4 linked regions of the Mus musculus genome follow. The protein of the gene in region 1 interacts with the protein of each later gene in a pairwise test. Links are inferred from orthologs where the notes say so. Each region holds a gene or a part of one and is shown on either strand. Other genes may lie near its edges.

Evidence for each region.
Region 2: the proteins of Hap1 (region 1) and 1110038F14Rik interact in a two-hybrid assay, tested with the Homo sapiens proteins (2 studies listed by BioGRID and IntAct). The link is inferred for Mus musculus from reciprocal best matches to the Homo sapiens genes HAP1 and C8orf33.
Region 3: the proteins of Hap1 (region 1) and Hmox2 interact in a two-hybrid assay, tested with the Homo sapiens proteins (2 studies listed by BioGRID and IntAct). The link is inferred for Mus musculus from reciprocal best matches to the Homo sapiens genes HAP1 and HMOX2.
Region 4: the proteins of Hap1 (region 1) and Taf1d interact in a two-hybrid assay, tested with the Homo sapiens proteins (2 studies listed by BioGRID and IntAct). The link is inferred for Mus musculus from reciprocal best matches to the Homo sapiens genes HAP1 and TAF1D.

Annotation. Positions count from the first base shown.
Region 1 is NC_000077.6:100,352,769-100,358,628, forward strand, and holds the start of Hap1 (huntingtin-associated protein 1), read right to left. Parts: upstream 3,374-5,860; 5' UTR 3,310-3,373; coding exon 2,922-3,309; intron 1,981-2,921; coding exon 1,904-1,980; intron 1,595-1,903; coding exon 1,478-1,594; intron 1,368-1,477; coding exon 1,189-1,367; intron 1,020-1,188; coding exon 920-1,019; intron 843-919; coding exon 776-842; intron 1-775. UniProt on the Homo sapiens protein: Originally identified as neuronal protein that specifically associates with HTT/huntingtin and the binding is enhanced by an expanded polyglutamine repeat within HTT possibly affecting HAP1 interaction properties.
Region 2 is NC_000081.6:76,945,726-76,951,620, reverse strand, and holds 1110038F14Rik (UPF0488 protein C8orf33 homolog), read right to left. Parts: upstream 3,361-5,895; 5' UTR 3,083-3,360; coding exon 3,077-3,082; exon of another isoform or gene 2,993-3,076; coding exon 2,702-2,992; intron 2,554-2,701; coding exon 2,469-2,553; exon of another isoform or gene 2,438-2,468; intron 2,078-2,437; coding exon 1,931-2,077; intron 1,373-1,930; coding exon 1,233-1,372; 3' UTR 642-1,232; downstream 1-641.
Region 3 is NC_000082.6:4,724,691-4,730,368, forward strand, and holds the start of Hmox2 (heme oxygenase 2), read left to right. Parts: upstream 1-1,670; 5' UTR 1,671-1,781; intron 1,782-5,678.
Region 4 is NC_000075.6:15,308,328-15,313,454, forward strand, and holds the end of Taf1d (TATA box-binding protein-associated factor RNA polymerase I subunit D), read left to right. Parts: intron 1-197; coding exon 198-588; intron 589-1,531; coding exon 1,532-1,707; intron 1,708-2,030; coding exon 2,031-2,082; intron 2,083-3,199; coding exon 3,200-3,368; coding exon of another isoform or gene 3,369-3,385; exon of another isoform or gene 3,386-3,581; coding exon 3,582-3,694; 3' UTR 3,695-3,777; downstream 3,778-5,127. UniProt on the Homo sapiens protein: Component of the transcription factor SL1/TIF-IB complex, which is involved in the assembly of the PIC (preinitiation complex) during RNA polymerase I-dependent transcription.

The sequences.
Region 1 (5,860 bases):
TGGAATTTTTGTCACAGAAACTCATCCTGGCTGGGTAAAAAGGGACCTGGATGGGTAGAGAGACCCCATTATATATTATGAGGTGTCCTGGGCTAGAGACACTGAGACTTGCCAGCTGTGGCTTGCAGGGGAAAGAAGGACAGAGATGAGATTTGGAAAGAGCATAAGCCAGATGCTATATATCCCTTTGAATCTGCATCTCAGTGGGTAGGCTTGAGGTCCTCAGGGACTGACGAAGGCTAACTTGGTGCTAGGCACAGCCTAGAATCAGTGTGTGACTGTGAACTGTCTCAGCCCTAAGTGCCCAGGCTCTGGCAGCTCCTGGCTTCCTCCCTGCCATCCTGTCCACCCTGCCAGCTTGGACTGTTCCAAATAATAGACAGACCCTAATGGCCTCTATGTGTTCTGCAGTGCTCTACCCTTCCTGGGCGCGTGCTCTCCCCGCCTGTCCCCCCTCTCTCCAGAGTCCCACATTAGGTGGTCTTCAACACCTGACCCTCCTGTCTCTGACTCCTGAGTGCTGAGGTTCCAGGTGAGCTTCCACCACGCTCAACAATGGTTCTCAAAACCCTGAGAAGATGAGGAGCAGGCCGTGGCTATCAGTCCTCATTCTAAAGATGAAGGTTCAGGGAAACCAAGGAATCTGTCTGGGCTACCACAGCGGCCAAGTCCCAGAGCCAGGACCTCAGCTCTGCTCTCCAGGCTCCAAACCCTTAGCTCATCCTCTCATCTCTTGGGACAGTGCCCTCCTCTGAATTAACGGTGTCACACGTACAGAACTGCTCCACACATTCCAGAATGAGCATCTGCTCTTCGTCCTCCAGGTTGTCAAGGTGGGAGGCCTGGAGGAAGGGAAAAAGGAAGGGGTGAGGCTGTCACCATCCCCTGCCCAAGGGCGCGCCCTCCTCACTGTCCTCACCTCCTCTCGCAGGTGGTCGTTCTCTTCCTCCAGAAGCCTGAGCTTCTGCTGCAGGGTTTCCAGCTGTGGGCAGCGGTGCGCTGTCTCAGCCTTAGGGTGTCTGGCAGGGGGGGGAGGGCGATGATGAGAGTCAGACTGTAAGGGCTGGAGGATCCCAGTCCCCAAGGCTTCCCCAGCAATGACAGTGTCAGCAGGCCCATGCCCATTTATAAACGAGCAACTGAGGCTCAGAGAACGGATGATCCCGGGCACAAAGGCCGAACACGTACGGCTTGGGGGCACCATAGGGGTGGTCGTGCTGCTGGTCTTGATCCCTCTGTCCTTCTCGTTCCTCCTCTTCGCCCTCTTCCTCGTCTTCCTCGTCTTCCTCATCATCATCGTCATCAGAGTCTGAGTAGAGCTGAAGAAGGTCATCTCGCAGGTTCACCTGCTTCCGGAGATGTAAAATCTAGGGCAGGGGAGAGAAGCCACGGAAAGATGAGCACAAGGGGGCAGAACGGGTGCTAGTCTGGGGAGGGGACACACGGAACTCTCCCTGGTCCTTAGGAACCCAGATACCTCCTCCCTGGCTGAGCCCAGCATGGTTTCCAGCTTATTATTCTCCTCCATCAAGACACTGTTCTGTTTCACCAGGGACTGGCCGATCCGGGCGGCTGTGTTCAGGTCCCGTTCTTTCTGCAAAAGAAGAGCCAACCATTCCAATTCCTTCGAAGTTTCCGGGACCTCCCAAACAGGAGGGAGAAACCAGGGCTAGGTCACAAGAAGACTATCTCTCCAGCACCCAGTCATCCAAGTACCAAAGACTATTAACCATCTCCTGGGTCTGATAAGATCAGTCCAGATTGGTCCTCTGTAATCTACTTGCCTTCCAGGAAAGGGGCCTTCAAGTTGGCTCCCAGGCAAGAAGAAAACAGACAAAAGCCCGAAGTCCTGTAGGGCAGAGTTAAAATGAGGGCTGGCCTGAGTGAGGAAGGCGGTACCCACCTCTTCCAGCAAATACAACATCACTTTGACATCATCTTCGGTGATCTTCTTCGTGGGTGGTGGATTAGGACACAACGCTGCAGGAGGAAAGGCCCAAGTGGGTCAGGGAAAGGAGCCGAGGCTGCCCATAGACCACTACACCCCTCACAACAAAGATTGTGAGACTGCACTCCATCTGGCCCTAACACCCTCTCCACAGCTCCGGATCTCCCCACTCCTGCTTTCTCAGGAGGGGCCTGGATGCTGTAAAGGCAAAACCATCCTCTGGGCTCAGGAACTGGACTCTCAAGACCCCTGGGTCTCTGGGCCCCTCGAGATAAGAAGTCAGGGAAAATACTGGGCTCATCATGCCCACCCCCAATCGGCATCTTAGCCATCACTGGAGTCTCCTCGATCATAAAAACAAATGCAGTCACCCATCCTAAACCTGTTGCTTGTCACAGGAGGGCCAAGTAGACTTCTTCAGCACCCAGAAGCGGGCACCTGAGCCTAAAATTGCCCCCGCCCAGAAGAGGAGGGACAGAAGCCCAGTGCCCCGCCCACTCCTCCCTCTTCATTCCAGCTTCGGAAAAGTACGACCCAGACCCCCTGAGGACAAGTAGTGGTCAAAGGCTCCCCTACACACACACCTCTACCCACCCACGCAGGCTGGTTCCTGCGGGCTAGCGCAGGCTCAAAGCGCACCCGCAGCCCCCGCCCCTCTGCTGGCACTGCGGTAGACGGGGAGGGGGCACTGAGAGTGCGCAGATCTGCCACAGCAACAGGCGCGAAGAGGCGGGCGGAGAGCGCGAGAGAGCTCTGGACCTGACGCACCCACAATAATCGGGAAACCGGAAAAGGGGGGGGGGGAGATGGGGAAAGAGAAACCAAACCGGCACCGCAGACTGTGGTCTCGCGGGGGTGGTGGAAAGGTGGAACTAAGAGCCACAAGGGGGCGGGGCGCCTGAGTCGGTGCACCCCCTCCTACCTGGAGATGCCCAAATAGTGCCCAATGCGGGATCCCCGAGACTCAGTTTACCTTCCTGCAGCTCTCGAATAAACGCCGCACGCTCAGGGCCGGACACGCCGGGCCTCCGGCCGATGTACGCGGCTGGTGTCTTCCAGATTCCCTCGGCCTTTCCAGTGCCCAGGCCAGTGGCCCGGGGACCGTAAGGCCCCTGGAATACGTAGCGGGTCCATGGTGCGTCCGAATCACCAATGATCATGGACCGACAAAAGCTTCCTGTCTTGGTTCGGGATCCTGATTTTTGTCCGGACCCGGTTCCCTGCGCTGGAGCAGGTTTGGGCTCCGCCGAGGGCTCCGGAGCGGGACCAACTGCAGGCTGGGTCGTGGGGGTGCCTGCTGCTGGGTCCCCCGACCCTGTCCCGTCTCCCGCACCGCTCTGCACCTGCTCTTTCGGGCGCATCTTGACTCCGCAGTCCGCTGCCGCAGCCGGGGCTTTATAACCTGTGCTCGGAGCGGGCTCCACTGGGCTGTACCACGCGTGGCGCTAGGGGTGACCGTTGATCAGTTAGTGGTGCCGAGGACTCAGGATCCTGCAAGAAAGCAGCCAGTGGTGACGAGATAGGAAGTAAATAAAAGAAGAAGAAAGAAAGAGATGAACTAGTGCCTAGCTTATTCCGTGGGGTCGAGTCCACGGTGATGGATTTCTCTTCCCTTCCATCTTCTGAGAATGGTTCTGTCCAAAGCCGCCGCTTCCCTGGACTTGAGTAGAGGGACCCGTAGCTTCTGCCTAGAAACAACCCCCCCTTCAGCCCCCCGCGCGCGCTCCCGCCACCCCAGCTTCCAGGGGCTTTCTGTGTTGCCCTACCCAACATTGTGTACAGACCGAGGTGACCTGAGAATCGAGGCAGTACGCCTGTGCCTTCCCAGGTAGACTAAGCGAGAAATCCAAACTCCGGTATGGCTTTCAACGTGTTGCGTGTCATCCACAGGTCCCTCTCACTCTCGCGCTCGCCCCTGGACGTCTTCCATCTTAGTGCGTTCACTCGTTCTTTATTTCCAACCCTAATTCTCAAGCCCTACAGTCCAAGCAAGCACCTGTTCTGTTCTTCAAACATTCCAAAAAGAACATCTTCGGAGGGGATCCTGCTTAAATGTTTCGCTGTGACGACTCTTCAAGATCCCCGTGTACACACACACACACACACACACACACACACACACACACACACCAAAACATCCGTTATCCCAGGGTCTGAACTGATCGATGTCGGTCTCCACGACTTTACCCGTGCTCTTCAGCTCATGGACGGACGTATGCTCCCCAGAAAAATGGCTACTTTGGAAGCTGGCTCTCAGTCCTGAATGAACTGGTTTAAGGGGTGGGAGCTAGGGAGGGCAGTAGCCATTTCTGTGCTTTTAGACTGGGAGACAGGCTAAAGGGAGATGGATGACTCATGGACTCAAGTCTCAAAATCGTTCTTGATGTTCTCCATTCTCCACCATCCTCCAGTGGACAAGGCTATTGACTTTACGTTTTTTAAAATATTTATTTATTTATTTTTTATATCTGGTGTATGAAGGTGTCCATGTCAACATCAGTTGTTGTCCGTCCCTTGCCACCTTATTTTTTGAGACAAGGTTCCTCACTGAATCTGGAGTTCAGCACTTTGACTAGACTGTCTGGCCAGCGATTCCCCAAGACATCCACTTAACTCCACCCTACCCCTCAGCCCCGGGGTTTACAGACAGGTGCCACCATACCAGACCTTCATGTGGATGCTAGGGATCCAAACACAAGCCTTTATGTTTACACGCAGACCGAGACAGTTTACACATGCGCACACACATGTATGTATGTATGTATGTATGTATACACACACACAGACATACAGTTTTATTTGTGCATATGAGTGTTTTGCTTGCTTGTATATCTGGGCACCACTACCATGCCTGTTTTCCACAGAGGCCAGAAGAGGGCATCGGATCCCCTGGACCTGGAATTACAGATGGCTGTGAACTGGGAGCAGAACCCTGAAAGAGCAGCCTATGTTCTCACCCACTGAGCCATCTCTCCAATCCCCAACACGCCCCAATTTTGTTTTGCTTTTGAAAGAGGGTCTCACTCTGTAGTCCAGGCTAGCTTAAAATTCACTATGTTGCCTAGGCTGGCCTCAATTCTCTTGCTTCAGACTTTCTTGAGCTGGAATTACAAGTCACACCCAGCTTGAATTTGCCTTTTAAATACCCCTCAAACATAGCTAGTTCCAGGCAGCCAAGGTTACAGAGCAAGACCAGACCTCTAAAAGAAAACCTTAAGTTCTTTTTTTTCTTTTTCTTTTTCTTTCTCTTTTTCTTTTTCTTTTTTCTTTTTTTCTTTTTTTAGTTTTTTGAGACAGGGTTTCTCTGTATAGCCCTGGCTGTCCTGGAACTCATTTTGTAGACCAGGCTGGCCTCAAGCTCAGAAATCTGCCTGCCTCTGCCTTCCAAGTGCTGGGATCAAAGGCGTGCACCACCACCGCCCAGCATTAAGTGCTTTTCAAATGTTCGCATTCTGTACCAATGGTCTATTTTGCAAGCAGAGTGTTCCTCCCTTCTTCTCAGATTGTTGTGCTAGCCAGCCTCTCCCTATACCCCAACACACGTCCCACACACCTGTCTTACACCATCCTGGGTCCAGGTACATTCTAGCTTCTGGCCAGAGGTGTACATGTACTGTACATCCACATTGCTGTACAGGTCCAAACATGCACACACACACACACACACACACACACACACACACACACACACACACACACACCCATACATGCACACACACAAATACACACATTAGAATAGGTACTCAATATGTGTGTTGGATGAATACACACCAGGCATGCATGCGATGCACAGCCCTTCATCCACACATTTATCTAAGCTAAAGAACTCTGGCACCACTTCTTCCCAGCATCCTTGTCTGAGCTATAGACAGGGCTGATTCTCAAGGTCTTTGCCTAGCAAAGCATCTCCTA
Region 2 (5,895 bases), on another chromosome or scaffold:
GGTGTGGCTCGGCTATAGCTCATGCCTTTAATCCCAAATCATGAAGGTGGTTTGTAGAAGGAAGCACAATATTGGAAAGTGACTTCTGAGTGGCAAAGTGACAAATCAGAAAGATTTGACATAATAGGATATGGAAGTGAGAGGAAAGGAAAGTTACTTAAGGGGAAGGGGGAGGAGCAGGGGCAGGGGAGAGAGGGGGTGGGGAGGCAGTTTTACCAGGTTGCAGAAAGAGAACAAGCTAGACACAGGTGAAGACAGAGTGAGCTAGAGAATGAGAGGAGCCAGAGGATTAGAACGGATTGCCAGAGTTAGTCTGAGGCCAAGCAGAGCTAAAAATAAGAGGCTGAGAGAGAGAAGCCAGATTGAGTCAGTCAGCTAGCAGAGGCGTTTGAGTCAGAACAGCTGAGTTCACAGAGCTCAGAAAGTGCTAAAAAGGGTGAGCTTATTCAGCAGTAGGTCTCAGACACTGAAAACATTCTAGGCCTAGATAAGACCAAGCGAGAAGCTTCCAGGTCTAGGCCTAGGTTAGCAGACGAAGGCAGTGAGCCTCTGGAGACAGTTACACCAGGCAAATAAAAGATGCTTTTATACACATAGCATGCTCATACTCACACACATAAATACCACTCACACACATAAAGGTTGTGTTGTGTTTGTTTTGTTTTGATGCAGTCTGCTAAGACTCAGCTCAGGCTAAGACAGTGAGTAGCTTCTTAGCTCCTAAAAACAAAACGTGGCTTGATGGAGACCACACTGGCTCCAGAAGACGACAACCTGCTGAGGGAAACAGCAACAACAGCAGCAAAGGACTAAGTCCTGGATCAGAGCTGGACCAAGCAGTCTTGCCTCCTCTAACACATTCGGAACTCTCTCTCTCACACCATCCTATTTCCTTAGAAAAGATTTATTAAGGCGATATAACAATATACAAAGCACTAGAAAAATGGCCTGAGCATCTTTTCAAAAGTGAGCCCACTGTGTCCACAACTTCCCCACAGTTCCTTATCATCAGCAGCTACTCTGCACCTCTCTTCTGACATGAAGAACATTTCCTTCAAAGGTTTCCACATCCACATAGCAGCCTCACATAGGCCAGCCGCTTCAGGTCCATGCTGCAATGAAGGACAAACCAACCCCACTTCTGCTGAGAGAATTCCTGGGAAGGCCCTGCAATCAGGACACATCCCCACCCCACCCTGGAGGGGGATGAGCGGTCCAGCATGTAGGAGACCCTAAAAGAAATTGAACCGAAACTCTTCGCTGGTCAAGTCCGGAGTGGTTTTGGCTCTTTCTGCAGGACGAGGCCTGCAGACCCTTCCGCTCTTCTTTCTGGTGGCCTCACTGACGAGCTGTACCTGGGCCGAATGGGTGGCTGTAGGAAGGGGGAGCAGAGAGTCAGAATAGCTAACTTTCATCCATGCAGTTACAATTACCCACACAACTTTCCTAACTAAAAAAAAAAAAAAAAAAACTGAAAAATTATCTTAAAGTAAATAATGTCATTCCCATATGAGACTCAAGAGATGTAGTAACTTATCAAAAATGTTATATGATCTAAGTAACAAAATTTAGATCATTTTCACAAAATGATATGTTGTATGATCTAAGTAACAGATCCAGGACTTATGTCCAAGTTATTTATTATTTAGTCCCAGGAACTAAAGTCCAACTGGTACCTGGCTTTATGGCCAGTGAAGTGAGCCCAGGCTAAGACAGAGGAGCTGTTTTTTTCATCCCCAAAACAGAACGAGGTGAGGACCTCGGCCCTCCTCCCCCCAGGACCTCTGTCCCCTAAGAGAGAATACTTTCTCCCCACTTACATCCCCCCCGCCCCCGAGCCCATCTCTTCCCACACCAACCCTGCTGAGCTGAGCCTCTCCCTACCCCCTTGACGTTAATGTACTGAACCAATCGCTTTCTAGTTCCTCACCAGCCTTTAGAGCCCGTAGGGCCTCCCGCCACTCTGCATCCATCTGAGCCCTGTAGTCCCCAAACAAGGAGCGCATCAGCTGTCTCTTCCGGGGCAAGGGGGTTTTTTCACTGCGCAGCGTTCGGATTGCCCCAACAGCCTGCTCTTCTGCAGATGAAAGAAAGAGAAAGAGAAAGAGAAAGAGAAAGAGAAAGAGAAAGAGAAAGAGAAAGAGAAAGAGAAAGAGAGAAAGAAGAAAGAAGAAAGAAGAAAGAAAAAGAAAAAGAAAAAGAGCTAGTGACTTCAAACACACTCATATCATCCTACTACAAACAATTCCCATCCAGCTGGGGTGACGCACGCCTTTAATCCCAGCACTGGGGAGGCAGAGGCAGGCGGATCTCTGAATTCCAGGCCAGCCTGGTCTACACAACTAAGTTTCAGTACACCTAAACAAAGCAAACCAACCAAAAGCAACAACCCCACCCCTTGGCAATACCATCAGACCACAGAACTGTCACCGTTTACATTTCCCTAACTGTAGAGAAGGGTCCCTCACTCTGCTTCGGGGTAGGTCTCTGCGTCTTGAGACCCAGCTCCAGCTGTTCCACACACCAGGCCAGCTCCCGCGCCAGCTGTTCCGCCTGGGACAGAAAGGAGGACATGGTTGTGATGGGTAACAGGGTCCCGCAGACCCCACTCCCATACCTTCAGCGCCTTAATTCCGCACAGCTCGCCCACAGAGGCAGGCGGATTAGCGCCCAGAAAGCTCGCAGGGAGTACCATCCTTGCCTGGGCCTCAGCGCTAGGAGGAGCTTCGTCCGGGGCAGGTTTCTCCGAGGGCTTTTCGCTTCCATTTGTCCCAGAGACCCTGTTGGGGGTTTTCTTTTTCTTTTGCTTCATCGCTACTGTGTTGCCTACGGGATGGGTTCCGGCGGCGGAGTCGCATGCAGGTTGCACTGAACTGCGGAGAGGAGGTTCCGAGGCACCGGAAGCTGAGCGAGAGGGCCGGGGTCTGCGCGGAGCGCGATGAGTTTTCCGACTTGAGGCTGCTGGTGCCTCCCGAGCAGGACGCCCTGGCTCCTGAAAAATCGTGAGACAGGACGAAATTCACAGGGTCTCCCCACCTAGGGCCTCGCCACAAACACGCCTTCTCCCACAGCTCACCGCCATTAGTCGGAGCGGCCGCCGGAAGCTGGTAAATCCTAACTACCACAGCGAACTCACTCCTCTGGAAACACGTCTACGACACAAGGTTCCGCAGAAAGCGCAGCGGAGCCAGAGCAAGCGCTCAGCGCCGGACAGAAAGCACTTGGGTGGATGGAGCGCCTCAGGCTGTGCTTGTAATTTTAGGAGACAGAGTGCACGGGGATGAACTTAAAGGCCTCGGAGAACCCAGCAGAGTGTGCCGCCAAGAAACAAGACAATTGATTCCTGGAGAGAATGGAACCGGTGGGGTCGGGGGGAACGCCCAGAGATGGGGCAAGGTGGATTATGCGGGGCGGGGCGGGGCGGGGCGGGGCGGGGCGGGGCGCAGGCGTTGACAGATGGCTCAGCTTGTCCCCGGTATACTTCAGAATCCTGAAGAACTAGGCTCTAATGGCAATGGAGTGAACTTTCCAACGAGAGTCGGGGCAAGCATGCACTTCCTTCTTCCACGACCATTAGGCTGCCACCCGAAGACCTGGCCCAGATTTAAGGTGCATCTTCCCACCTCAAACGAAAAATCAAGAAAATTTCCTTACAGGAACTCCTTACCCCTTGAGGTTTAGGATAATTACAGGTGTGGGTTGTCAAAATGACAACCAAGAATAGCAATAGCTATCATAGCGGTCTAGCCCTAGGACTACAGATACCAGTCATGGAGCTACAGGATTTGGTATTTTTCCTACAGGCTTCTAATCCTGCTTTGTTTCAGTATTTCTTCGCTATGCCTCTATTCCACACTTTTGGAATGGCGACATATATACTGTGTCCTAATAATCACAGGACATGGTAGTACTAAGAGACGCCCTAAGGGATCTCCTACACTCCAGACATAATCTTGCTTACCACCATTGTGAAGAGGTAATCCAATTTCCCCATGGTAATCTGGATCTATCACCCCTCCTAACACTGTTATTCCTTTTTTAGCCTGTTGGTTTAAGGGCATTAGAAGCCCAAAATGACCAGGGGGAAGTCTGAGCTTCCAGTTCAATGGAATGTTTGTTGTAGCTCCTGGTAGGAGCACTCCCTTCTCTGGAGCCAAAACTTCTAGGCCAGCAGAACCTAGAGTTATGGGGACAGGAAGCAAAAATTTTCCTAGAGGGTCACTAGGAGTGATAGTAAGTGCTCTGCTCAACTCCTTCATGCCTTCAAAACCAGTACCACCTGGGTGACCCTTACACATTACCAAGTCCAGCCACAGCACAATGTACAACTTTGGCTATATCTGGAACACAGCCACTGTGCTCTCAGAAAACACTTCCCAGAAGATGTCACCTCAATGATGCTGGTCTCTTCTTAATCACCGCTAATTTCTTAGCTCCAGCTAACCAGCATCAATAGTCCCAGTAATGCAAAGTTTTTGCTTTAGTAGTTCTGGTATCTTGTTAATCACAGCTGATTCTTCAGCCCCAGCTAACCAGAACTACAGAATCTTCACAATCAAAACAGCAATGGCCCTGAAAAGAGTCTTTAATTTTCCCTCTGAAATTTCACAAACCAGACCTCCATCTTCTGCAGTGTTCTCAACGTTGTCTTCCAAGCTCCTACACAACATCCGACAGAGCTCTTAACAACGGATAACTTTAAAAGTCCCACAGTCTTTACATATTCTTAAAATTTCAATTTCTTTAAAATAGCCATCTCTTTTAAAATCCAAAGTCTTTTTACAATTAAAAGTCTCTTAACTGTGGGCTCCACTAAAACAGTTTCTTCCTTCGAGAGGGAAAATATCAGGGCACAGCCACAATCAAAAGCAAAAGTCAATCTCCAACCGTCCAATGTCTGGGATCCAACTTACAATCTTCTGGGCTCCTCCAAGGGCTTGGGTCACTTCTCCAGCCATGCCCTTTGTAGCACACGCGTCATCCTCTAGGCTCCAGATGCCTGTACTCCACTGCTGCTGCTGCTCTTGGTGGTCATCTCATGGTACTGGCATCTCCAAAACAGCAACAGAAAAGTTACTAACACAGGGACACTTTCACAAGAGTAAGTCCATGTCAAAATATGCAAAATCACACACCTGAAATACCTATAACAAGCTGCATGCCAGTTAGACCCCTGTTGTATTAAGGGGTGTCTCTGTATTTCCAGTTATTAACTCTGTACTGGCAGAGAGCTAAGTGCTGGCAGGATTTTGGAATTGTCATTTCTATGGCACATCCCCAGGTTTCCTATTTTGTAAATGTCTTCCAAACCTTCCCAAAAGATGAAGGTCAAGCTTGGAGGAATGCCTTAGGCGACCTAAGAGCCTGTCTAGCATGATCTTACTACTGAGTGGTTATAATAAAGATCTGGCAGCCAATAGTTGGGGCAGGAAGTATGGGGGCGGAACTTCTGGGCGGGCAGAGTCAGGGGATGCAAACAGAGGCAGGAGTATCTAAGCAGACACAGAAGGAGCAGGGAATGAAAGGGCTATCTAGGAGGCAGGGCCAGGCTGGAAGTCAGGTTAAGTTAGAAGCTAGCAGAGTCTGCCCTAGATAAAGGCCAAATGCTTAAAACTGTATAGAAGTCTAGTGTCTTGTTTAAACCATAAGCAGGTCCTTGAGAGCCCCACAATAGACCCCAATAAAGCCTTTTTTCTGACACAAGGTGTAACTATCACTCAAACTGGCCTCAAACTTGCCACCCTGCCTCAGCCTCTCTTTGCTTGGATTACAGTCATTCACCACCTTGCCCAGCTATGAGGCTGTTTCTTTCAGAAAAAGAAATACAATACAGAACAAGGTGTAGAACTGTTCTGTCAAAGCTTCAACTCCCCCCCCCCCCTTGCCTGGTCTGGT
Region 3 (5,678 bases), on another chromosome or scaffold:
AGTTTGAGGCCAGCCTGGTCTGCAGAGTTTCAGGACAGCCAGAGCTACATATTGAGATCCTGTCTAGAAAAACAAAACAAAAGGAAGCCATAGGGACTGAAGGACCTTAAATCGTTATGATATTAGGACACCCATTGGTGCCAGGACAGATCTAGCAATGAATAAATTAGGTAAGAAAAGAGGTGGTACTCTGGTTTTTGGAAATGTTCACCATGAAAAGCTCTGATAATATAGCACAGTGGAGAGTTCTTGTCTAGCATGCTGGAGATCCTGGATTCAATCCCTAGTAGTGTGTCCTCTTTCAACAACAACAACAACAACAACAACAACAACACAGAAAAGAAGGCTCTGAGGAGAGCTTACATAAACTACTTTCTTGTAACTCTGTCCCAATAAAATCCAACACCCTGGTCCTGCTCATGCAGAAACTGCCTTCATACTTTGGTCATCAATTAGATTATCTAGGCTGCTTCCAGAACTTGTTGTTTTTTTTGTGAATAGTGTTGAGTAGGAAAAGATTCTGCAAATTTGGTTAAAGCTTCTAGTGTGGAAATCTTCCTAGCTTGTGGGTGCATCGTGCACCTGAATAATAGAGAGGTAGAAAGAGAACATTTGTTGGGTTGGGGAGACATAACTCTGCAAAAGTAAGGAACTTTTCTATGTCCTCCTTGCTTAATGACACGGAGACCTTTATATTTATTATAAAGGTGAGGCGCAGAGCCAGGCAGACTCTAAGCTATTCTAACCAAGTATGCTGGCCTACTTCCCAGCCATGTGGACCTTTCCTGCCTTCTCAGGCTTGCTCTGGCTCCTCCTCCTTCATTCCTGTTCGGATTCCTGTCTCCCTTCTCTCCCACCTGAGATGCTCTCTCTGTCTCTGGCCTCAGAAGTCCTGCCATATCCTCTCCTGCCCAGCCATAGGCTATTAAGCTCTTTATTTAACCAATCAGGAGGTGATAGAGAATAATATTTTATAAAATACTGAGTCATACTAAAGTCGAGACTGGAGCTGGACCTCTGGGTACAGGAATCAGACAGAATACAGAGTGCACAGAAATGTCCCTCAGCATAACTCAGTAAGAGAGCTTACTCAAAATCTAGAATTCCATCTCCAGCACAAAACCAAACCAAAACTTTAATAGTTAAAAAAGTAATTAAGTGCTGGGCAGTGAGTGGTGGTGCATGCATTTAATAACCCCAGCACTTGGGAGGCAGAGGCAGGCGAATTTCTAAGTTCGAGGCCAGCCTGGTCTACAGAGTGAGTTCCAGGACAGCCAGGGCTATACAGAGAAACCCTGTCTCGAAACACCCCGCCCCCCCAAAAAGAATCTATTAATTCTTCCCCAACAAGTTACATTCCCAACCCTTTTGTGTTTTTGTTTGAGCACTGACAAATGCTCACACTGTAGCCCAGGTTGCTCTTGAATTCTCCAGGTTGCTCTTGAATTCTCCAGCCTCAACCCCACCCCTGTCCCCCACCGAGTGCTGGGATTCCAGGCTTGAGCCCCCACTCTCGATCAACAAGCAGTTGGCTTTGGCTGACACGCTTCCTTCCTCTCCGGTTAACATTACTACTCCCCACTCCCGAAGCTTTCTCAGAAGGCAGTGTCGGCTCGCCCAAGAGCCTCCCGCTAGCTGCCGTGCGCCTGGGGGCGTGGCCTGGTGACTCCGCCCCTCGCTGCGTGCGCACGTCCTACCGTCCTGGCGCTCGCCCTCTCGGCTGCGAAGGTACAGAGAGAGTCGCAGACGCGGAGACTGACTGACCTGCGGAGCCACTGACGGTGAGTGGTCCGCTCTGTGCCCCGTCCTCCCCTCCCGGGTCCTTGCATGGCGGCGGCCTTCTTCGAAGCTCTGCTCCGCTGTCCCCCCGCGACTCGTCCTCAGCCTGAGGGGACGTCGGGCGGGGGGTGGCCGGAAGCGGGCTGAGGCGGGCGAGCGAGCGAGCGGGAGACTGGGGGTCGGAGAGGGGCCACCGAGCGGGCCTTGAGCGTCAAATGAGCCCGAAACCGCGGACGTCGCGCTCTAGACGGCTTTGAGCTCCATCCCCAAGAGTCCTCTGGTGTTCCCGTGGGGCATAGCCCCTCCCAGCGTCACGAATGCTCTTGAGGTGACTCCGGGGTCGAAGTTAGTGCAGCAGCGCAGCACATGAGCCTACCTGAGGTCCCGGAGGAGCCCGGGGCGTGGCGGCCTTGTTGGCCAGCCTTCAGTGGCTCCCCTCGGTGGCAAGATCCCTTAGAATCCCTGTGGGGACTTGATGAGTGACCTGTGGTTCTGAGTGCAAGACTGGGAGGACTCAGTCGTAGATGTAGCCGGTTGGTCTGGCCCAGGAGGTCACCTGTCACCACCAAAGCACAGAGCTCCAGGTGACTTAATTGCTCTGTAAGAACTGCCTGGACCGCCTTGCACACTGCTTGCACAAGGACTGTCTTGTGTCATGCCGTTTAAATTGGTTCTGAAGGACCAGTTGTGGCCTGTGTTCAATTGTGGGCACCGCAAACTCAACTAGAGAAGGGAGTGTTCCCGAAAGACAGAAATATCATATACTGTCCAGTTGAGGGAGAGCGCTTGCTCTCCAGTCCTTTCTAAATCCTTGAGTGTTTTACTACCTATAAAGTGAGAATATTAAGAGACTCGTGAAGTAAATCCACGAACATTCCACAGGCGAGATAACAGCACTGAAGATCTTAGTTATGCATAGACATCCTGTGATTTTTTCAGAAGTGGATTAGAGATTAGAAATGGTTTTGTTTAAGTGGTCATACTGGCCTTAAACAGTCTAGTCATGTAGAAGGTTTTGTGCGTTCCTATTTCTGGTATAGTGCTTCAGTTTATAATAGTTATTATAAATGTCATTTAATACATAATTATTAAGAAAGTTTTTTTTGGCGGTGCAGTTTGAACAAGATGAGCATGTATTTTACTACTGAGCCCACAACCCTACCCAGTGTTTTGTGTTTTGAGAAGGAAATCTTGCCATGTAGTGTGCACTAACTGAATTTGAGATCCTCAGGCTCCTAACTGTTAGGATTATGATGAGCTTGCACTATAGTGCCCAGCCTAAATCTTTTTTTCCCCCCTTTGAGTCAGGCTCTCTCAAAATTATTTAGTCCTGTCTTTAAACTTTCTCTATAGACAGGCCTCAACTCACAGAGATCCCACTGCCTCTGCCTCCTCTGTGCTGGGATTAAGGTGGGTACATCATGCTGTTTTGTCAATGTTTTTAGTTTCTTTGAAGAGTAAAAAGTATTCAGTTTTTTCTTTTTTTCCCAGAAACATCACAAGACATAATCTGTTTGCTAGGAGTTCCCAGTTCAGTAGGATATTTATAAATTCACTTGATAAAAATTGGTAAACATTTGCTGATAAAGTCCCTCAGCCAAAACACTGATTAGGGTGTGAGGATCTGTGAGCCTTGGAAAGTTGCATGCTTACTGAATGGCCTGATCTCACTGGGGACCTGAAGAGGAAATCCTGCAAGGCCCCTGGTTTGACTTGAGTTCCTTTCTTTCTTTGCTTGTGGCAGTCAGTTGAGACGTTGAGTCACTAGATATAGGAATATGAGTGCTCTACAATTGCTAAAGCCACTGAGCTACAGAGGTCAAATGTTAATTGTCTTTAACTTAGTCAGATGTGTTGAAACTTGGCAGACTTGGATAGTTGGGCCTACCTTGACTTTTAAATTTTTCTTTTAATAGCAGACTGTACAGGACAGCTGTACTTTGCATCAGAATTGCACCAAAAACTAGAATATCACCCTTCCAGAAGGCAGATCTTTTAGAAACTGGAATTGCATAATTCAGAGTAAAATTCATAACTTAGCCTTTCACTCCTTGGAGAAACAAAACAAAATAAAACCTCAAATGGTCTTTGAATCTTACTGGCCATAGTTAAGTAAAAAATTAAATGTATTCCTTTTTTGGATGCTTGGGAAGCAACCAATGGGAATTTCGGAGCTGGTATAAGACATAGTGATCTGCTGTAATTCCAGCATTTGGAGTTGTTCAAGGACATCCTTGACTACTTATGTCCATTGGTGTTTTTCCCACGTTTGTGTCTATGTCTGATCCCCTGGAACTGGAGTTATAGACAGTTATGAGCTGCCACGTGGATGCTGGGAATTAAACCTTTAGAAGAACAGTCAGTGCTCTTAACTGCTGAGCCATTTCTCCAGCCCCCTAATATCAGTTCTTGGCAATAGAGAAAGATTTTTTTGCTTGCTAAAATTTGTAGCCAGGTATTGGTTTTCTGACTTTTTTGTAGCATCTGAGCTGGAGTTGGGGTGCAAGGTAATCTACTTGAAAATTCAGGAGCAGCCAGACAGTGGTGGCATATGCCTTTAATTTCATCGCTTGGGGGGCAGAAGCAGGCAGATCTCTGAGTTCAAAGTTCAAAACCAGCCTAGTCTATAGAAAGAGTTCCAGGATAGCCAAGGCTGCACAGAGAAACTTTGTCTTGAAACAACATTATATGTGTGCTCATCAGGGAGGCCGGAGCACAGCTTGTGGAAGTTGGTTCTCCTTCCACAGTGAGATCTAGGGGTCAAACTCACATGGTTAAGCTTGCACTATTACCAGAGGATCCATCTTGCTGCCCAAGGAACTTTTTTTTTTTTTCGGTTTTTTGAGACAGGGTTTCTCTGTATAGCCCTGGCTGTCCGCCTGCCTCTGCCTCCCGAGTGCTGGGATTAAAGGCCTGTGCCACCACGCCCGGGTAGAAAGAGACTTTTTTAGTTGGCTGTTTAAATTTTAAAAACTGAGATGGGGGTTGTTGAGGTTGGAGAGCTCTGTGTTGGTTCTTTCTTTACAACCATTTGAGTCCCAGGGATCAAACTCAGGTGGTCATGTTTGGTGGCCTTTCTCCACTCTACTCTCACTGGCCCTGTTTTGCTTTTGAGATAAGGCTTTCACTTTGTAACCTAGGGTACACTTGAACTGGAGATCCTTCTACTTTAGCTCTTTGAGTGCTGGTATTACAGTGTTTCCCATTATACCCAGTTAAAAACTGCCCTGCTTTTTTATTCTTAATTTTTTTTTAGATTATTTTTTACTTATGAGTGTTTTGCCAGCATGTTAAGTTGTGTACTATATGTGTACCAAGTACCTGAAGGTCCCTTGGATCTAGAATTATGAATGGATGTAAGCTACCATGTGGCTTACTGATCCTGAACCTGGGTCTTCTTCAAAAGCAAGTGTTTTTACCCATGGACCCATCTCTCCAGCTGCTTTTTTTTTTTTAAGATTTATTTATTTATTATATGTAAGTACACTGTGGCTGTCTTCAGACACACCAGAAGAGGACATCAGATCTTGTTACAGGTGGTTGTGAGCCACCGTATGGTTGCTGGGATTTGAACTCCTGACCTTTGGAAGAGCAGTCGGTGCTTTTACCCGTTGAGCCATCTCACCAGCCCCCGCTGTTGTTCTTTTTAAAGATAGTCTTACCTGACTGGCCTGGAACTCCATATATTAAGATTGAAGGGATCTTCTGCCTCCTAAATATTGGAATAAAAAATTTCTTTTCCTTCTTTGACACAGGGTCTCACTCAATGTGCTTGTATGTTAACTCCCAAGGATCTTCATCTTCTGCTTCTCTAGTGCAGGGATTGTTTGCACTACCATTCCTAGCCCAGGCTTTAGTTTTTATATCCACAAAAGCGGTTATTAATGCTTGATGAGTTC
Region 4 (5,127 bases), on another chromosome or scaffold:
GGGGGTTGATCTTTGAAGAAATGCACTTTGAAATTTTAACATGGTTTTTAGGTTTGTCATGCTTTTGTCTGGTGTTCTAAGGGCAGTAAAGGCTGTTGGAGCTGTGAACTGAAGGAATGCATGATTGGGAGCATGGCCTTGAAACTCGGGGAGGATTATAGCTAATGATAACTGATGCAGTTTCATTTTTGTTTTAGTGATGACTCCTCTGATGGCAGCTTATTTAAAACTCAGTGTGCTCCTTCACCTATACAAAAGCAAAGACACCCTACTGTGAAACGTGTTACTTTACCTGCAAGTGTTGAAACAGATTCATCAAGTGACTCTTCTATAGAACCAAGGCCTCTGACTTTAAAGGCTATTTTTGAAAGATTTAAAAAAAAGAAACGGAAAAAGAGGAAAAAGAGAAAATATGAGCCAAAATTAAGACCAAGAGGAAGACCAAGAGGAAAACCATCGGGAACGAGGATCACTAGAAGGTCGCAAATAGATGCAAAACAAATTAAAGACAAAGGAGCTGTGTTTCCATTCTTAGAATCTGAGAGTGGAAGAAAACCTTTACCTTGGAAGAAAATTTTAACATATGAGGTGAGTTTTTTTTTTAAATGTAGGTGAATACATTAGGTAAGATTGAATGGTTTGTTGGCCATTCTTAATTGTTTGAGGGACACCTGAAACAGATTGTTACTTTTAACAATAGTGACATCCATATAAAGTGCTCCAATTTTCATCTCTTGCATCACTAGAGAAATGTGCACAAGCATATTTATCAGTGTGCACACAGATTTATGGAGTTGTACTCCAGCTGGGTCCCTTGAGGTCCCTTATATTATCTCTAGACTATTCTGAAGCACACCACACCCAGCTTGCTTTCAGCAGTAGTCAATCCTTTGAGTACAGGCGAGAGAGAAGGTATGGTACCATTTAAGGCCCACTTTTAGAAGTCCCAGGAAGGGCTGGAGAATAGGACCATGAAGGAAGCTGCTGGTCCTGGGCATTGTTAGCCTAGGACCTCTTGCTCAGAATGGTAACACCCACCCACAATCTAGGCAATCATACAAAGATCCTCTGTTGAGGATCCCTTCTAGGGTAATTCAGAGCTATGCCAAATTGACAGTTAAAAGTTAACTAGTCAAGGGCTAGAGAGAAAAACCCAAGTACCCAGATACTACTTAGGTTTCTCAAATGTTTGAGTATTAACTGTTGAATGGTTGCAAGTGGTCGGAAAATGTAATCAGTGATTAATGTCTACTTTGTATTTATTTGTGTATGCACGTGCAGACATGGCAGAGCTTGCCAGTTTGGGTTGTCTTCCTATTCACCTTGTTCTTATTGTCTTTACTACCCAAGTCTGGAATTACAGTAGAACCATCATGCACATAACATTTACGTGGTTTCTGTGCTCTCACATCTGGTCCTTTTGATGAACGGCAAGCCATTGTTTATTTAGCCTCTTGGTACAGTTTCAAACTTGATTATAATTAGTATATGATGTTTTAATATTTAAGGAATTGTGTGTTCTAACTTGCAGCAAGCTGTTGCAAGAGGATTTTTTCACCACATTGAAAAACTCAAGTATGAACACCACCTTAAGGAATGCTTGAAGCAAATGCATGCTGGGGAAGATTTAGAAAAGGAAGACCTTGACAGTCGGAGGCACAAATACATGGATGATGATGGTTCACTTTCTCCTATTGAAGAGCCATTGTAAGTTGGATCTTGAAGGGCAATTTATGGGGTTTGTCATATTTAAGCTAATTTAAAGACAGTCTCACTACTGTACAGCTTTGGCTAGGGTTGAACTCATTTACCTGCCTCTCAAGTGCTGGGGTGGGTGTGCCATCTATAAAATGAAGATCCTATAAAATTCTTCAGTAGTAATCGTAACTTCTAGTCCATTTAAGATTGTTTAATCTGAGGTAATGTGCACAGGACATCAGCTTTGGGAGGATTATTTTTCTTTGACTATAGGTTTCAATGGTATCAGAATACTAGGTAAGATTTGTGACACATTCCATTTAATGTTACAGAACTGAAGATGAAGCAACAAATCCTCAGGCTGAATGTGATATCAAGTTGGTTGTAAGTGGCTGATTTTTATTGTTTCATTTACAGAATGTACAAGTTGTATACTATTGAATTTTTGTTTAAGAGTGGAACTACTATTTAGGCTATTTGATAACCAAGGATTTTTTTTTTTTTTTGTGACTCTTCCTCTTAGTCCCAAGTGTTGGGGTCTGAAGCCTTGTCCACATTTATATTTATGCCAAGGTATCATACTGCTGAGTTATAACGCTAGCTTTGAATATTTGTAGGATATTGAGGCCAGAGGTTAGACTGGCCTCTTGAGACCTCAAACCAGTGGATTAACCTACCAGCATGGTCTTTGCTCCTGCTATTGGCTTACAAAATGTGTATCTCTGCCTGGCTCCAGTCTTAAGATTTTTTTTTTTAAACTCAGTATTATGTTTTGTTTGCATGTAAGTATACCAGGTGTATGCCTGGTGCCTGGAACTGGTAGGTGCAAGGAATTGAATCTTAGTCTTAATTAAGAGAAGAAGCCAGTGGGCTGGTGAGATGGCTCAGTGGGTAAGAGCACCCGACTGCTCTTCCGTAGGTCCAGAGTTCAAATCCCAGCAACCACATGGTGGCTCACAACCATCCGTAACAAGATCTGACTCCCTCTTCTGGTGTGTCTGAAGACAGCTACAGTGTACTTACATATAATAATAAATAAATCTTTAAAAAAAACAAATAAAAAACATTCAATTTAATATGTAAATGTTAATTGTTAAAACTTTAAAAAAAAAAGAGAAGAAGCCAATGTTGTGGCTTATTTTGTGCTGTTTATTCTATACTGTTTTCTACTTAACTGTGTGAGTGCTTTACCAGCATGTATACCTGATTAATGGAAGAGGGCACCAGGTCACATTTACCATATGGTTGCTGAAATTTAATGCAGTACCCCTGAAAGAACAGCCATTGGTGTTTAACTGCTGAGGCATCTTTCTAGCCCTGAAAAGCCAGTATTTTTAACCACTGATCTAGCTTCTGATAAAATAATAAAGAACTTTTAGCTAATCTGGTGTGCTGTCAAATGAGAAAATAGTGCTGGTATAGTAAGGAATATATTTGCACTCACCCATCAGTGAGTTTAGTTACTAGTTTTTTTGTTTTTTTTTTTTTCTATTAAATGCAGGAAGACAGTTGCTTCATAATAAGTTCAGAATTCTCAAGGAAGAGAAACTTGGAACAAGAGAAGATTAAGAAAGAATCTACATTTTCTAAAAAAGCCAAAGATGCCACACACAGAGAGAAAGGGCACAGAAGAACCTTGAAAGGAAATGAACATGTGACTATTGAAGAAGGTAAAGAACATAGATAACAGTGTATGCCAAGTAGATCAAGAACTAATCTGGGGAAGAAGATAAACTTGCTGGTGGAACGCTAATAAATACTTAGTAAAGCTTTTTTCGTTGCTTGATTTCAGAGTAAGAAATACTATAAGGATTATTTTACTACTATAGTAAACATGATTGTGATTCTGGAAGGAAAATGCTAACAATCCTATACATGTCTAGATTCAAGACCCCAGCCTCGCCCTTTTGCTCATCTGCAGAGCAAGGTCATGAAGAAAGGAGAGTTAGAGTATCTGGAGGTTCACCACCTCTGTGGTCTGTCGCAGCCACTATGACTATGAGGAGGAAGAGATGATTTGAAAATTGGATTAAACTCCTGGACTCTTATACTAGAAAAAATAAACTAATGATAAAACCCAGCCTCTTAAGTGCTTAGCCCAAATTATTTCATATTTGTGTGTTTTGCCTACATGCATATGTGTGCAGTACCCAAGATCAGAAGGTATCTGTGCCTGGAGATCTAAAGTTACAAGATGGTAATTAGCCAGCCATTGTTGGTTATGAATATGATTTCCTTTCCTATTCATAGATGGGCAGTGGTGGCGCATGCCTTTGATCCCAGCACTTGGGTGTCAGAGGCAGGTGGATTTCTGAGTTCAAGGACAGCCAGAACTATTCAGAGAAATAAAAAAAAAGTTATTATCTGAGCTTTCTCTTCGAACCCACACCCAGGTTCTGTCTGCAAGTCTTAAGTCAAACAAGTGCTTATCTTCCCCAAGGGGGGTTTGAATATTACCACTGTTCCTACTGTCCTATTGTGGTCACAATTGTAAAACTGGCTGTGTCAGATATGGACAGCTTTGATAGCACTTGTGTTTTTGTCAGCTGTTGGACAATGGCCAGTTGAACAGGTGCAAAAATATAAATCCTCTTGCAACCCAGAACTCATTGCTCAGTATGAGTTTTGATATATACAAGAAGGAATATAAGCACAAAGGTGTTATTGATGAACTTGGTTCTAGCAATATCATATATAGTTTACCTTATAAAGGTAATGGAGTAGATGGATATTCCTTTTTTTTTAAAGGCTTGTCTTGATTATGAAGTCAGAATTGGAAGATACCCATGAATGGATGTTTGTTTCAGTGTTGTAAGTAGCATGTAAATTTACATCTTCGGAGTTATGTTAACTTTCAGTGATGCTAATTCTATGAAAGTTTTAGAGTGCTCCAACCCCTCAGTAAATCCTAGAACATTAGAATCAATAATTTGAACTGAAATAGGTATGTTTAGCAGAAGAACACAAAAATAAGGCTTTAAGGTCTTATACTCAATTTACAATATTATAAACTTCTCAAGCATGGTACATCACAAATACAGTGTTTGAAAAGTGAGTTAACTAAGAATCAGACTGCCACTTTATTTAGTTTTATCTATCTGCCTGATGTAATTGTCTCTGAGCCTTACTGCCCATCTGCTAAAGAAGGCCTATCCTTGGAAGCTTACAATCTGATGTAGGTTTAGAATGTTTTCAGCCTTGGAGACTTTGCTGAAAAAGCTCACCCTTGATATTGTCTGGTTTACCTCAGGTGTTCTGGCTCATTCCTTCAAGCTGACTGATTCATTCTGACTTCTGCCTCAAACTACCTTGCAATCTGTTCTGATCTGGGCTCTTCACTCTTGGCTCATTCTGTATTCACCTGTGTCTAGCTTGATCTCTCTTAACCTGTCTTTGTAAAGTTCTCCTAGTAAAAATTGCCTCTTGCCC